Linked DNA regions of Caenorhabditis elegans. The protein of the gene in region 1 purifies or fractionates together with the protein of each later gene. This does not show direct contact. Each region holds a gene or a part of one and is shown in the gene's direction. Other genes may lie near its edges.

The links.
Region 2: the proteins of daf-31 (region 1) and hpo-29 fractionate together in Caenorhabditis elegans (co-fractionation; one large-scale study listed by BioGRID). This does not show direct contact.
Region 3: the proteins of daf-31 (region 1) and ZK795.3 fractionate together in Caenorhabditis elegans (co-fractionation; one large-scale study listed by BioGRID). This does not show direct contact.

The regions. Positions count from the first base shown.
Region 1 is NC_003282.8:8,288,451-8,292,072, forward strand, and holds daf-31 (N-alpha-acetyltransferase daf-31), read left to right. Parts: upstream 1-1,822; 5' UTR 1,823-1,826; coding exon 1,827-1,973; intron 1,974-2,025; coding exon 2,026-2,285; intron 2,286-2,708; coding exon 2,709-2,850; 3' UTR 2,851-3,046; downstream 3,047-3,622. Other genes in the region: nucl-1 (Nucleolin homolog 1), read right to left, coding at 99-409, 456-1,068; K07H8.2 (SLC41A/MgtE integral membrane domain-containing protein), read left to right, coding at 3,135-3,194, 3,282-3,385. UniProt on the Caenorhabditis elegans protein: Catalytic subunit of the N-terminal acetyltransferase A (NatA) complex which displays alpha (N-terminal) acetyltransferase activity. Plays a role in regulating larval development, metabolism and longevity.
Region 2 is NC_003281.10:234,159-238,905, forward strand, and holds the start of hpo-29 (N-alpha-acetyltransferase 16, NatA auxiliary subunit), read left to right. Parts: upstream 1-1,685; 5' UTR 1,686-1,691; coding exon 1,692-1,766; intron 1,767-1,819; coding exon 1,820-1,904; intron 1,905-3,591; coding exon 3,592-3,854; intron 3,855-4,747. Other genes in the region: hpo-38 (DUF19 domain-containing protein), read left to right, coding at 555-616, 761-875.
Region 3 is NC_003282.8:12,557,541-12,561,308, forward strand, and holds ZK795.3 (Brix domain-containing protein ZK795.3), read left to right. Parts: upstream 1-1,824; 5' UTR 1,825-1,825; coding exon 1,826-1,944; intron 1,945-1,999; coding exon 2,000-2,066; intron 2,067-2,111; coding exon 2,112-2,306; intron 2,307-2,379; coding exon 2,380-2,746; intron 2,747-2,906; coding exon 2,907-3,037; 3' UTR 3,038-3,132; downstream 3,133-3,768. Other genes in the region: ZK795.2 (DsbC domain-containing protein), read right to left, coding at 156-288, 447-503, 550-613, 695-828, 1,139-1,241, 1,346-1,386; snb-7 (V-SNARE coiled-coil homology domain-containing protein), read left to right, coding at 3,328-3,636.

The DNA.
Region 1 (3,622 bases):
GAAAACAATAATATTAAAGGAAACTCGAAATAAACATTGCAACATTTTCCAAAGAAATTTTCACAAGAAAATCAGCCTTTGAGAAAAAAAAAACATACCTCCTCATCTTCTTCGTCCATTTCAATTTCTTCCTCGTCTTCCTCATCTTCTTCATCTTCCTCAACAGCAACAGACTTTTTGACCTGCGGAGCGTCATCATCAGATTCTTCCTCCTCCTCATCATCGTCCTCTTCGTCATCGTCAGAATCTTCAGCAGCCGTAGCAATGGCACTCTTAGCAGTTTTCTTTGGTGGTTGTGGCTCCTCATCACTCTCCTCCTCATCTTCTTCGTCTTCACCAGAATCGTCTTCTACTGGTTTTGTTTGTTTTGCAAACGGAGTTCCGGTGGCAAGCTTTTTCTTCGGGACTTCTGGAATATTGAATAATTGCAAATAAATCTAAAATCAGCACTATACCCTCTTCCTCGTCGTCATCTCCATCACTATCATACTGTTTTCTCTTATCGCTAAAACCAACTCGGCTGCCTCCCCCACGAGATTGGAAGTTTCCTCTTCCTCCGCGCGGTGAGAAATCGTTTCCACCGCGTCCACGAGGTGTGAAGCCACCACGACCGCCTCCTCTAGGGGAGAACTTATTGCCACCACGGGACCCTCCAGAGAAATCTCCTCGACCGCGATTAGCTACACCACGATCTCCTCCTCGCCATGGAGAGCCACCACGATCACCTCCACGGAAGTTGCCGCGGTCTCCTCCACGCCATGGAGATCCTCCACGATCTCCACCTCGGAATCCACCACGGTCACCACCTCGGAAGCCTCCACCACGTCCTCTTGGGGAGAATCCACCTTCACGATCACCACGGAATCCTCCTGGTGAGCGACCTCTATCTCCTCCTCGGAATCCGCTTGATGAACGTCCTCTATCGCCTCCACGGAATCCGCCTGGAGAACGTCCTCTATCTCCACCTCGGAATCCACCACCGCCACCACGTGGGGTGAAGCCACTGCCACCACCACGACCACCGCGGAAGCCTCCGCCTCCGCGTCCTCTTGGTGAGTCGAAACCCATTTTGATTGTACCTGAAATAAATAAAATAAAGTTAGGAAGTCCTAATTAGAGTTAAATCAGGAAATAACAGCGACCAAATGTGTTGTAATGATATATTTCGATATTTTATGCATTATAGTAATTTTTAAGCAGAAAATTTCTTCAAAAAACGTAGAAAAGCGATTTATTTCAGTGATAAACATGAAAAAGTACACAAAGAGAATGTTTCTAAATTCGAAATTCATCGATAAGCGGGCGCAGGTCTCGCCACGATCTCTCGAATAAATGCATGCGCCTTTAAACGTTAATTTTCTTGCTGGCGGCAGCCGGCTTGCAACGGCTTTCAACAATTCGACAAATCAATAAAAACTGGATTTTCCGTACATTTCTTTTTGTTTGTTATCAAAACCGTTTGAACTGTCAATTATACACTTTTTAGAATTCGTTTTCATCAATTAGAATGTTTGTTCGTATTTATATTGCGTGATATTCTTTTAAAATTGAACAAAATAGTTTAATATAAATATTTTATTTGCAAAACTCTGTCATTTGCGATACATAGTTCTTTCCTAATTGTTTTAGTAAAAACTTAAGTTTCACGTGCCACCTTATCCACGTTTCTATTTCTACGGTGTATTGCCCCTCGGCGAATTCGAGTTATAACTTTTTTACAAGCTCGTATATTGCAAATCCTCCATTAATCTCTATTTTTTTCTCCTTTTGCATTCGCTTCCGAATTTTTTGTGCCGTTTACTCAACTGCTCTATCTTTGCAGCAGGATGAACATTCGTTGTGCTCGCGTGGACGATTTGATGAGCATGCAAAATGCGAATCTTATGTGCCTTCCAGAGAATTATCAAATGAAATACTACTTCTATCACGCTCTTTCTTGGCCGCAGCTCTCTTATATTGCTGAAGATCACAAGGTATTTTTTATTCTCATGCAAATCTTGACTTGAAACATTTATTGTTGTTCAGGGAAATGTTGTTGGATATGTTCTCGCCAAAATGGAAGAAGACCCAGGAGAGGAGCCACATGGTCATATCACCTCTTTGGCCGTCAAAAGATCTTACAGACGTCTGGGATTGGCTAATAAAATGATGGATCAGACCGCAAGAGCCATGGTCGAAACCTACAACGCTAAATACGTATCGCTTCATGTTCGTGTATCAAACCGAGCCGCATTGAATCTATACAAGAACACACTGAAATTCGAAATTGTGGATACAGAGCCAAAGTAAGTATTAATTTGAATAAATCCTCATTTCTCGGCGCGGATTAGTTCGTCCCTCGATGAACAACTGAAAAAATTCTAATCGACGTTTCCCAATCACCCGTTCGATTTCCAACGTTATACTTTTTACAGAAGTGATGGAATTAAATAATTTTGTATTCTTTTTTGGTTCACCTATTTTTAATTTTTGTTCCAAGTCAAGTTCAAATTGAAAAAGGTTATTGTGATTATCAGTGAAAGGACAAAATGTTTCGAAAAATAATTACGTTTAATAACGTGGCGCTTTTTTAAAACAATAAACAAAAATATGCGAGCGAGGTGATTAAACTTTGGCATCAATCAGAAGAAACATACTTCAATTTGCAAATTATGATAACTTTTAGAACCTTATTAACCCTAATTATTAACAAAAATGACAAATTCCAGATATTACGCGGATGGAGAAGATGCATACGCTATGCGTCGCGATCTCGCAAAATGGGCAGAAGAACGGAACATCGAGCCAGCAGATCGAGAGGCCTATACCACTGCAAAAACCACTGACGATAAAAAGAAAAATCGCAGTTAATTCGTTATCAAAGTTTATTTTTGCCTTTTCCAACTGGTTCATTCTGATACTTTCTCTGTTCTCCCCTTTCAGGAGGATCTCTTTTCTTTCAATTCTCGTTTCCTCCTCTGGTTTTAGATTAGGTAAAAATTTAAGTTTTCCCCTGAATAATCTCTTTGATCCCCCTTTGAAAGCTCATTAATAAATTTAAAGCATTAAAATGGTTTGTAGATGTTATAAGCAGTTGATTTCTGTATTCAAATATCTGTAAATATTTATTTCGACCTTTAAAGTTAATGTTTTAGATGAAAGGTGGCGGTGGAATAGGGGATGGCAAAAAGGACTATCAATCAGCTGTTCATGAAGTAAGTTTTTATTAAAAACTCTGTTATTCCTTTTAATAGTTTTGAGTGATTCAGATGAAATATAGATTTTAAATCTAAATTTTTCAGGGATTAACAACATTCGATCAATTGGGAATTGCACTTGAAGATGTCGGTAAATCAATGGACGCAGAAACAGCTACACCAGGAGGAAGTTTATTTTCCAGAGTTATGTAAGTGATTCGGTTATTCTCGAAAAAAAACTCATTGTTGAAAATGTAGCACTATTTTCTAACATTTCAACAAATAAAATTCTGGCTCACTACCGAGTTCGTATTTTCAACATTGAACAGACACATGGAATTGTTTTCAAAAATCATTCGGTCTCACACATTATGGAGGGAGAAACAGTTTAACCTCAACGCAAATCCGATTTGGTCGAATCGTTTCATCGCCTCTCCCTCTGCTCT
Region 2 (4,747 bases), on another chromosome or scaffold:
AAAAAATTGTTCATGAAAATGGAGTTTTTGAAGTGCCTACACTCTCCTTTGGCTAATTTGAGCACTTTTTCCGTGCTAGAACCTGAAATTTTCAAAAACAAAAATTTGGTGCCCGGGACGGTTCATTTACGGTCCGTCTACGGGCCGTCGACGGACCGTCTACGGACCGGAAACGGCCCAACTACGGCTCAAGAGCCATCTCGGTCGGTAAATGTGGTTTTTGCTCTGAATAATGCATTTAACGACGTAAAAATGCTTGAATTAGCCAACTGGTATCATAGGTATTTTAAAAAATTCGTTTTCTTAAAATCCATTTTTTCCTCTTAATGGCCATTTTTTACATTCCCCGTAGTTTGCCCGTAATTGGTCCGTCCCGCTTTTCATATCCGTAGTTCGCACGTTAATGGTCCGTTCCCGGTCCAAGATCCGTAAACGGACCGTACCCGCTTTGCCTGTGTGACGAGCTTAAGACAAAATATTACGACTTTTTGTCAAATTTCGGGTCTCGAAGCGAAAATATCGAAAACTTTGGATTTTTTTTTGGGTTTTTCCAGATCTGTCAGAGCTGCATGCCGGGAAGTGCCCCAATCTGCTTCCAACGCAACCCCCGCTTCACGTAAGTCCTAAAAAAGCGGGAAATTCGAATTTTTGGCTAAAAAATCAGAGTTCTGGCCTATTTTTCTCGATATTCAGTCAATTTTCCACGGTTTTTTAGATTTCCCCTCGTTTTTAGACTTTTTCTCAACTCATTAAGCTTCAGAGGCCTCGCCCAAGTCTGCCTTTGCACCTACAATCTGGAAAATCCCATCGACAACGCCGCCTTCTCACTTCGCCACGAAAAACGTGTGTTCAGCCGCAAAATCCGCCGTACCTGATGACCCCCGAATTGATATTTTATGTGCTTTTTCATTGAATAAACTGCAATTTGTTGGATTTTCAAGGCTTTTTCAGCTGAAAATTCAATTTTCGGCTCATTGTGCATTTTTGCGTCATGGTGTTTGTTTGAAAATATGGGTTTGTCCAGGTTTTTCCCAATTTTTATAACATTTTAGCATTATTTTCGATGATTTTTCAGATTTTTCAGCTAATTTCAGATTTTTTCAGATATTTTCTGTATTTTCAGACGGTTTTCCAAGAAATTTCACTTGAAGCCCAGCGAGAGAGCGTGCAAAACGAGGAGAGTGCGCGCGCCAGAGGACGAAAACTGTGCATTTGTGCGTGGCGGTGTTTGCGGACTCACTGCTCATTTCCCAGAATTTCTCATCAATTTTACACTATTTTCGATGGATTTTCGACGTTTTTTCCCAAAAAATACACGTTTTTCGTGTTAAAACGTGGAAAAACGTGTTCCGCGCCTTTAATTTGCCACGGGGCACACGGAATTTCGGAGATTTGGCAGTTTTTTGGCGGAAAACACCGATTTGTTCGGCGGGACAATTTTGTTTTCTTAGATTTTCAGCGTTTTTTACTGATTTTTTTGCTTTTTCAGTGGTTTTCTGCTATTAAAACTGTCAAAATCGAGTTTTTCATGCCTTAAAACCCCCGGAAACCCTACATTTTAGGCCAAAATTCATTTTTTCGCGGAATTTAATCGTTTTTAGGCTCAAAAAATCGATTTTCTTCTCGTTTTCGTGCTCTTTTCACGTTTCCTCACCGACTTTCACCTCAAAAATCCAAATTTTCAGGTAAAAATGCCGACACCACCAGGACAATCGAGCAGCCAGCCGTTGCCAGCCAAAGAGCTCGGTTATTTCAAGAAAATCGTGGTATTTAACTCGAATTTTGCTGAAAAAACCGAAAAATCACTCAATTTTTGCAGAAAAGCTACGAGCAGAAGCAGTACAAAGCGGGTTTGAAGTTTGCGCAGAAGATTTTGACGAGTCCCGGCTTTGCCGAGCATGGAGGTACTGCTGGACCGGAAAATCTGAAAAAATGATGCGAAAAACTGGATTTTCACGGGTTTTTGAGTGGAAATTCGGTTTTTCAGCTAAAAATTCGAGTAAAATCGCCATTTTATGCAAATTTTATCCGGAAAAACTCATTTTCCAGCCAAATTACAGGAGAAACCCCCGAAAATTAAGAATTTCGCCAGATTTTTGTGAAATCGGGTGCAAAATATCCCAAAAATTTGATTTTGAGCCGATTTTTCAATAATTTTGACTCAAAATTTGAATTTCTATGAATTTTGGACCGTTTTTCCAGATTTTTCGCAAAAATAACGAATTTTGACGCGAAATTTGTCCAAAAACCTGGTTTTTAACCGATTTTCGCCGAATTTGGACCATTTTTCCCATAAAAATCTCAATTTTCTCAAAGAAACGCTGGCAATGAAGGGATTAATTCTAAATTGCATGGGAAATTCGATGTTTCTGTTAAAAATCGAATTTCTTAGCGAAAACGGCTGAATTTCGGTGGAAAACATTCGAAAAATGGTGATTTCGGCACAAAATTTACTTGAAAAATGAATTTTGAACCGATTTTTCTACATTTTTGACTCAAAAATTGGATTTTTGGCCCGAAATGTACTTAAAAAAATGAATTTTGAGCCTATTTTGGCCGATTTTGGACCGTTTTTTCCTAATTTTGAGCTATTTTTGGCCCAAAATGTACTTACAAAATCGATTTTAACCGATTTTCGCGGAATTCGGACCATTTTCCCCAGATTTTTCACAAAAAAATCTCAAAAAAATTGGATTTTTCCGCACAAAATTAATTAAAAAATGAATTTTGGCCCATTTTTCCTCATTTTTGACTCAAAAAATTGGTTTTTCGCACGAAATTAACTTTAAAAATTGGGTTTTAATCGATTTTCGCCGGGTTTTGACCCATTTTTCTTCATTTTAGACCCGAAAAATCGGTTTTTGTCATAAAATTCACCTAAAAAAATGAATTTAAATCGATTTTCGCCAAATTTGGACCATTTTTCCAGATTTTTCGAAAAAAAAATCTCGAAAAATTGGATTTTTTCGGCACAAAATTAATTCAAAAAATGATTTTTTGCCCATTTTTCCTCATTTTTTGACTTAAAAATTGGTTTTTGGCACAAAATTCACTATAAAAATTGATTTTTAACCGATTTTCGCCAAATTTTGACCAATTTTCGTGATTTTTACCCCCCAATTTCGCCCATTTTTCTTGCAGAAACGCTCGCAATGAAGGGTTTAATCCTAAATTGCATGGGAAATTCGATTTTTCTGTTAAAAATATCAAAATATACTGTGGGAAAATCGAATTTCTCAGCGAAAATGACCGGATTTCAGTGGAAAACATTCGAAAAAAATGAATTTTAAACCGGTTTTTGCCAATTTTGGATCGGTTTTTCTTCTTTTTGGCCCCAAAAAATTGGCTTTTGGCACAAAATTCCCGTAAAAAATGAATTTAAATCGATTTTCGCCAAATTTAGACCATTTTTCCAGATTTTTCACAAAAAGTCTCAGGAAATTGTTTTTTTGCCCAAAATTTACTTACAAAATCGATTTTAACCGTTTTTTGCCAATTTTGGACCGATTTTTCTTCATTTTTTATCCAAAAAATTGGATTTTCACCGATTTTCGTCAATTTTTACTCCAATTTCACTCATTTTTCTTGCAGAAACGCTCGCAATGAAGGGTTTAATCCTAAATTGTATGGGAAAACTTCAAGAAGCTCAAGATTGTGTTCGTCGTGGACTTGTATCGGATCTCCGTTCATATGTCTGCTGGCACGTATTTGGACTAATTCAAAAGACTGAAAAGAAGTACGATGAGGCAATTAAGGCCTACAAACGGGCCTTGATGCTGGAAAAGGACAATTTGCAGATTTTGAGAGATTTGAGTCTTTTGCAGATTCATATTCGTGATTATGACGGATATTTGGTAGGTTTTTTTGATCGAAAAAATGACGAAAAACGGTTGATTTTGAGCTAAAATCTGGAAAATTCGCTGATTTTTGCTTTTTTTTAAGTGAAAATTCCATAAAAATTGTGGAATTTTGGCCAAAAACCAGGATGTTAGCACGTTTTCCGTGAAAATTCCATTCGAATTGATCAATTTCGGCTGAAAAACGAGAAAATTGACAGATTGATTGCACTTGTCTCTGTAAATTCCACACAAAACCCGTGTTTTGGGCGTTTTTGTAGTCAAAATTGACGAATTTTGACCCAAAAATCAGGAAATCGGCATATTTTGCCGAATTTTGACTGAAAAATTGGGAAATTTCACACAAAACTCAAGTTTTGGACAGTTTTAACCGGAAATTTCAAAAATTGATGATTTTTGTCTACAAAAACTGTTAAATTTACCTAATTTTGGTGCTGTTGAGTGAAAATTTCATCCAAAACCCAATTTTGAACACTTTTGGAGAAAATGCCTTGGAAATAGTCGAATTTTGACTGAAAAGCTGACAAATTAAAGGTTTTGGCACATTTTGAGTGAAAATCGACGAATTTTGAGCCAAAAACAGGAAAATTGACCGATTTCGGTGTTAGAGAAAATGCCTTGAAAAATGTCGAATTTTGACTGAAAAGCTGACAAATTTACTAATTTTGCGGTTTTTTGTGGGAAAATTCCATTGAAAACGGCTAAATTTGACCCAAAATTCGAGTTTTGGGCTTTTTTTTTGGTGAAAATTTATGAATTTTGGCCAAAACTTTGGGAATTTAAATGATTTCGGGGCTTTTTCTGTGAAAATTCCATTGGAAATACGATTTTTGGCCAAAAAATGGAAAATTTAACCCAAACTATGTGAATTTTCTTCAAAATCGCCAAAA
Region 3 (3,768 bases), 4.3 Mb from region 1:
TGCGTGAATATTTTTCCAGAAAAATTGTGACGTCAGCGGGCTCTTAACCATGCAAAACCAGATGAGATGCCTGCGTCTCAGCTCCCGCATTTTTTCGAAGATCAAATCGAAATAAGACATTATGACTCCATGGAGGGGGGGGGGAGTTACCGTACCTGTTTCTGGATATTCATCCGGAATCCGACTCAGCGGAGCCATAAACTTTGGTTCGAGGATTTTGATCAGTTGGTCCATGGATTTTACAGTTTTTGGTTTTGCAGAACCCGTCTCTGATGAGTTGAAGATTATCTGAAAAATTCGGTGATTTCGGCATATTCTTAAATTGCAAATTAAATTTTCCACGAGTTTTCAGTGTAAAAGGTTCTAAAACCTTGCACTAGAGGAGAACTACACTTTTTTTGGTAGAGCTCACTTGCATTTTGTGATTTTTCAAATAAAATTTTTACCTTTGCGGTGAAAGCCAAATCTTCATCAGTTTGGGACAAAGTTGGGTACTTTTCGATCTGAAATTCGAATTTAAAAAAGTGATCCGACATCTCGGCAACTCACATTCAAAACCCCAAAACTTTGACGTCCCCACTCAGGATCACACTTCAATTTTTGGCTGGTATGTCTGAAAAAAACCCCTTTTTATCAGAATATAAAAAAAGGTCCATGAGGCCAAGACAATTCTCCGAAGAAATTTCAAGCCTACTTTTTGATAACCAGAATGAAGTCGGCTCGCATCTTTGATCTATCGACACCTCCGATGAATTCGCAAATACTTCCGTTCTCATGAACGAATATTTGCGGAGATTTCACCTGATGCTTTGCAATGTACAAGGCAATCTGGAAAAACCAAACATTTAAAAATTCGTGACTTGCGCGTGAAATCTGATGCATAATGTGACCATGTACTCACGTAGGGCAAGGTTGTCCCATCACGGTTTGATCTACAAAAAAATGCGGAAATTTTTCGCCCAAAAAAAATGTGACGTCAGCACGTTCTTAACCATGCAAAATCAGTTGAGAACTCTGCGTCTCTTTTCCCGCATTTTTTGTAGATCTACGCAGATCAAGCCGAAAGGAGACACTCTGGCATCACGTATGTACCGCACACTTTCCGATGCACCATGTCTGACAAGATTTCAAATATTACCCCGTCAATTGTCTTTTGCCAGGCGACATCAGTGTCCTTCCCCATCACGACCATCTTAATTGCACCTGAACCGGAAAGTGAACCACTTTGAGAATGACATGGGCTGGAAATTAAACTTTTAAGAAATAGAACTAGAACTTGACAGAAAAGTCTGGAATTTCTCACGAAGAGATCTGAAACATTGGAATTTCCACTCTTCCAACTCACCTTATAGCCAAGAACAGTAAGAAACCAATGGATATGATCATTACTGAACAACGAATCGATTTGATTTCACAATGATTGATTTTTTGGATTAATTATTGCTTTCTTTAATTTCAAATGTTGAATATTTGCCAAATGGCAAACGGTCACGTTTTGTTTTATTTTTCGGAGTTTTATTTTTCAAGTACAAAACAATATCGATTAATTAATTTTTCTAGATTTTAATTAATTATTTTATTTATGATAAAATTCCATGAGTTTCAACGAAATACTTCTTGAACTTTTTCAGAAAAAAACTAAATTTAAAACTCGCGCGCATTTTCTTGCAGGTACACTTTTGCGTACATTACGTATGAGGCATTTCATCTGACGCACAATAGTTTTATTTATTTTTTCTTAGGCATTTTTATGGGAAATTTCGATGTTATATTCGATTTACATCTGATTTTAATTTTAAAAATTGAATTTTTGAAAAATTTCAGAATGATTCGCCGCGAGAATCGTCTTCGCCGCGAGTTTATCTTCCGAAAATCGTTGGAGGAGAAACAGAAAAGTTTGGAGGAAAAACGAGAGAAAATTCGCAATGCTTTGGAGAATAATACGTTAGTTTTTTTGCTTTTATATGTTGAAAAATTCGTAATATACGAATATTTTCAGAAAAATCGATTATAATCTGCGAAAAGACGCAATCGAATTGGCGAAAGGCTCCGATTGGGGAGGACAGGTAATTTTCGCGATTTTTGATGAAGTTTCAATAATTTTTGTTCAGCAATACGAAACAGACAGCGAGTATCGTTGGGCTGGAGCTCAAGATCCAAAAATTGTGATCACGACGTCCCGTGATCCATCAAGTCGGCTGAAAATGTTCGCCAAGGAGATGAAGCTCATCTTTCCAAACGCACAGAGAATCAATCGTGGTCATTATGATGTTAAGCAAGTTGTGCAAGCGTCCAAGGCTCAAGATGTTAGTGGAAAATTGAATATTTGAAATTTTATCAGCTTTTCAGTAATTTTCTAATATGAAATTAATTTTTCAGTCAACGGATCTGATTATCTTCACGGAGACACGTGGAAATCCAGATGGAATGCTTGTTTGTCATCTTCCATTCGGTCCAACTGCATTCTTTTCAATGGCAAATGTCGTAATGCGACACGATATTCCAAATTGTGGAACAATGTCCGAACAGTATCCACATTTGATTTTCGACAATTTAAATTCGAAATTGGGACATCGTTTCACCACAATCCTCAAACACTTGTTCCCGGTGCCAAAACCGGATTCAAAGCGAATCATCACATTTTCCAATTCAGAAGATTACATCAGTTTCAGACATCACGTCTATAAAACTGAAAATGACGGAGAAGTCGAACTGACTGAAGCTGGACCAAGATTTGAGCTCAAACGTAAGAAAATTTTGATAAAAGAGCGGAAATTGAAACAATTATGGGCATTTTCTATTTTATCGAAGCACAATTTTGCGCTGAAATTAAACACTAAGCGAGAAATATGAAATATTCACATTTCAAAGTATTTTGATTTTTTTTTTAATTTCCAAATTTTCAGCCTACCAAATCAAGCTGGGAACTCTCGAGACTCTGGCGGCTGCCGAAGACGAATGGGTGCTCAGATCCTACACAAATACTGCCCGTAAACGTACATTCCTCAGCATCTCCAGAGCTGATGACGACGAATGAAAATATTTTGTTCTCTAAAAATGTTTTGTTGATTTTTATTGTTTTCTCCTTGAAATTGTTTTTGTTTCGTTCATGAAATTAATTTTTATTCGAAAAAAGATTTTTAGAATTTTTGATTCAAAAATTACAGAACATTTAAAAATTGTCGAAATAATAACAACCATTGTTTAGCTCACGGCGGCAGGACATGGGGACGGGCGGCGGGAAAATATTATGAATTCAAAGATCAAAGCCTGTCAAGACAGTTTCAAATTTAAAACAGTTCTGGAATAACGGACACTAATTACTGCATGAATCATCAACCACCACCAGTGAGCCGTGTCGGTTGGGACGATCAAAAGATTATGAGAACAAGAAGAGAATTGGATTCGGTGAAGGCCATTATGAAGGAGAATGTGCAAAAAATCATGGAGAGACAGGGAAAACTTGATGATCTTGTTGAAAGAGCTCAGAGGCTCGAGGAGGCATCGGATGTGTACGTCAAATGCGCCGTCAAGATAAAACGAGAGATGAGCTGGAAGGCCAATTCTCTTCGCTACGGGATCATTGCTGTGTCAAGTGTCTCCGCATTTGCAGGACTTGCCTATTCGTTCCTATAAATCATTTCTCTATCAAAACTATTTATTGGCATTACGCTTTGTGTGTACAATAAATAATGGAATGTAGTGATCATTTAAAGGCACACAGGGGTCTTGCGGCGTTTAAATGACACAGGAGATACAAAAAACTGA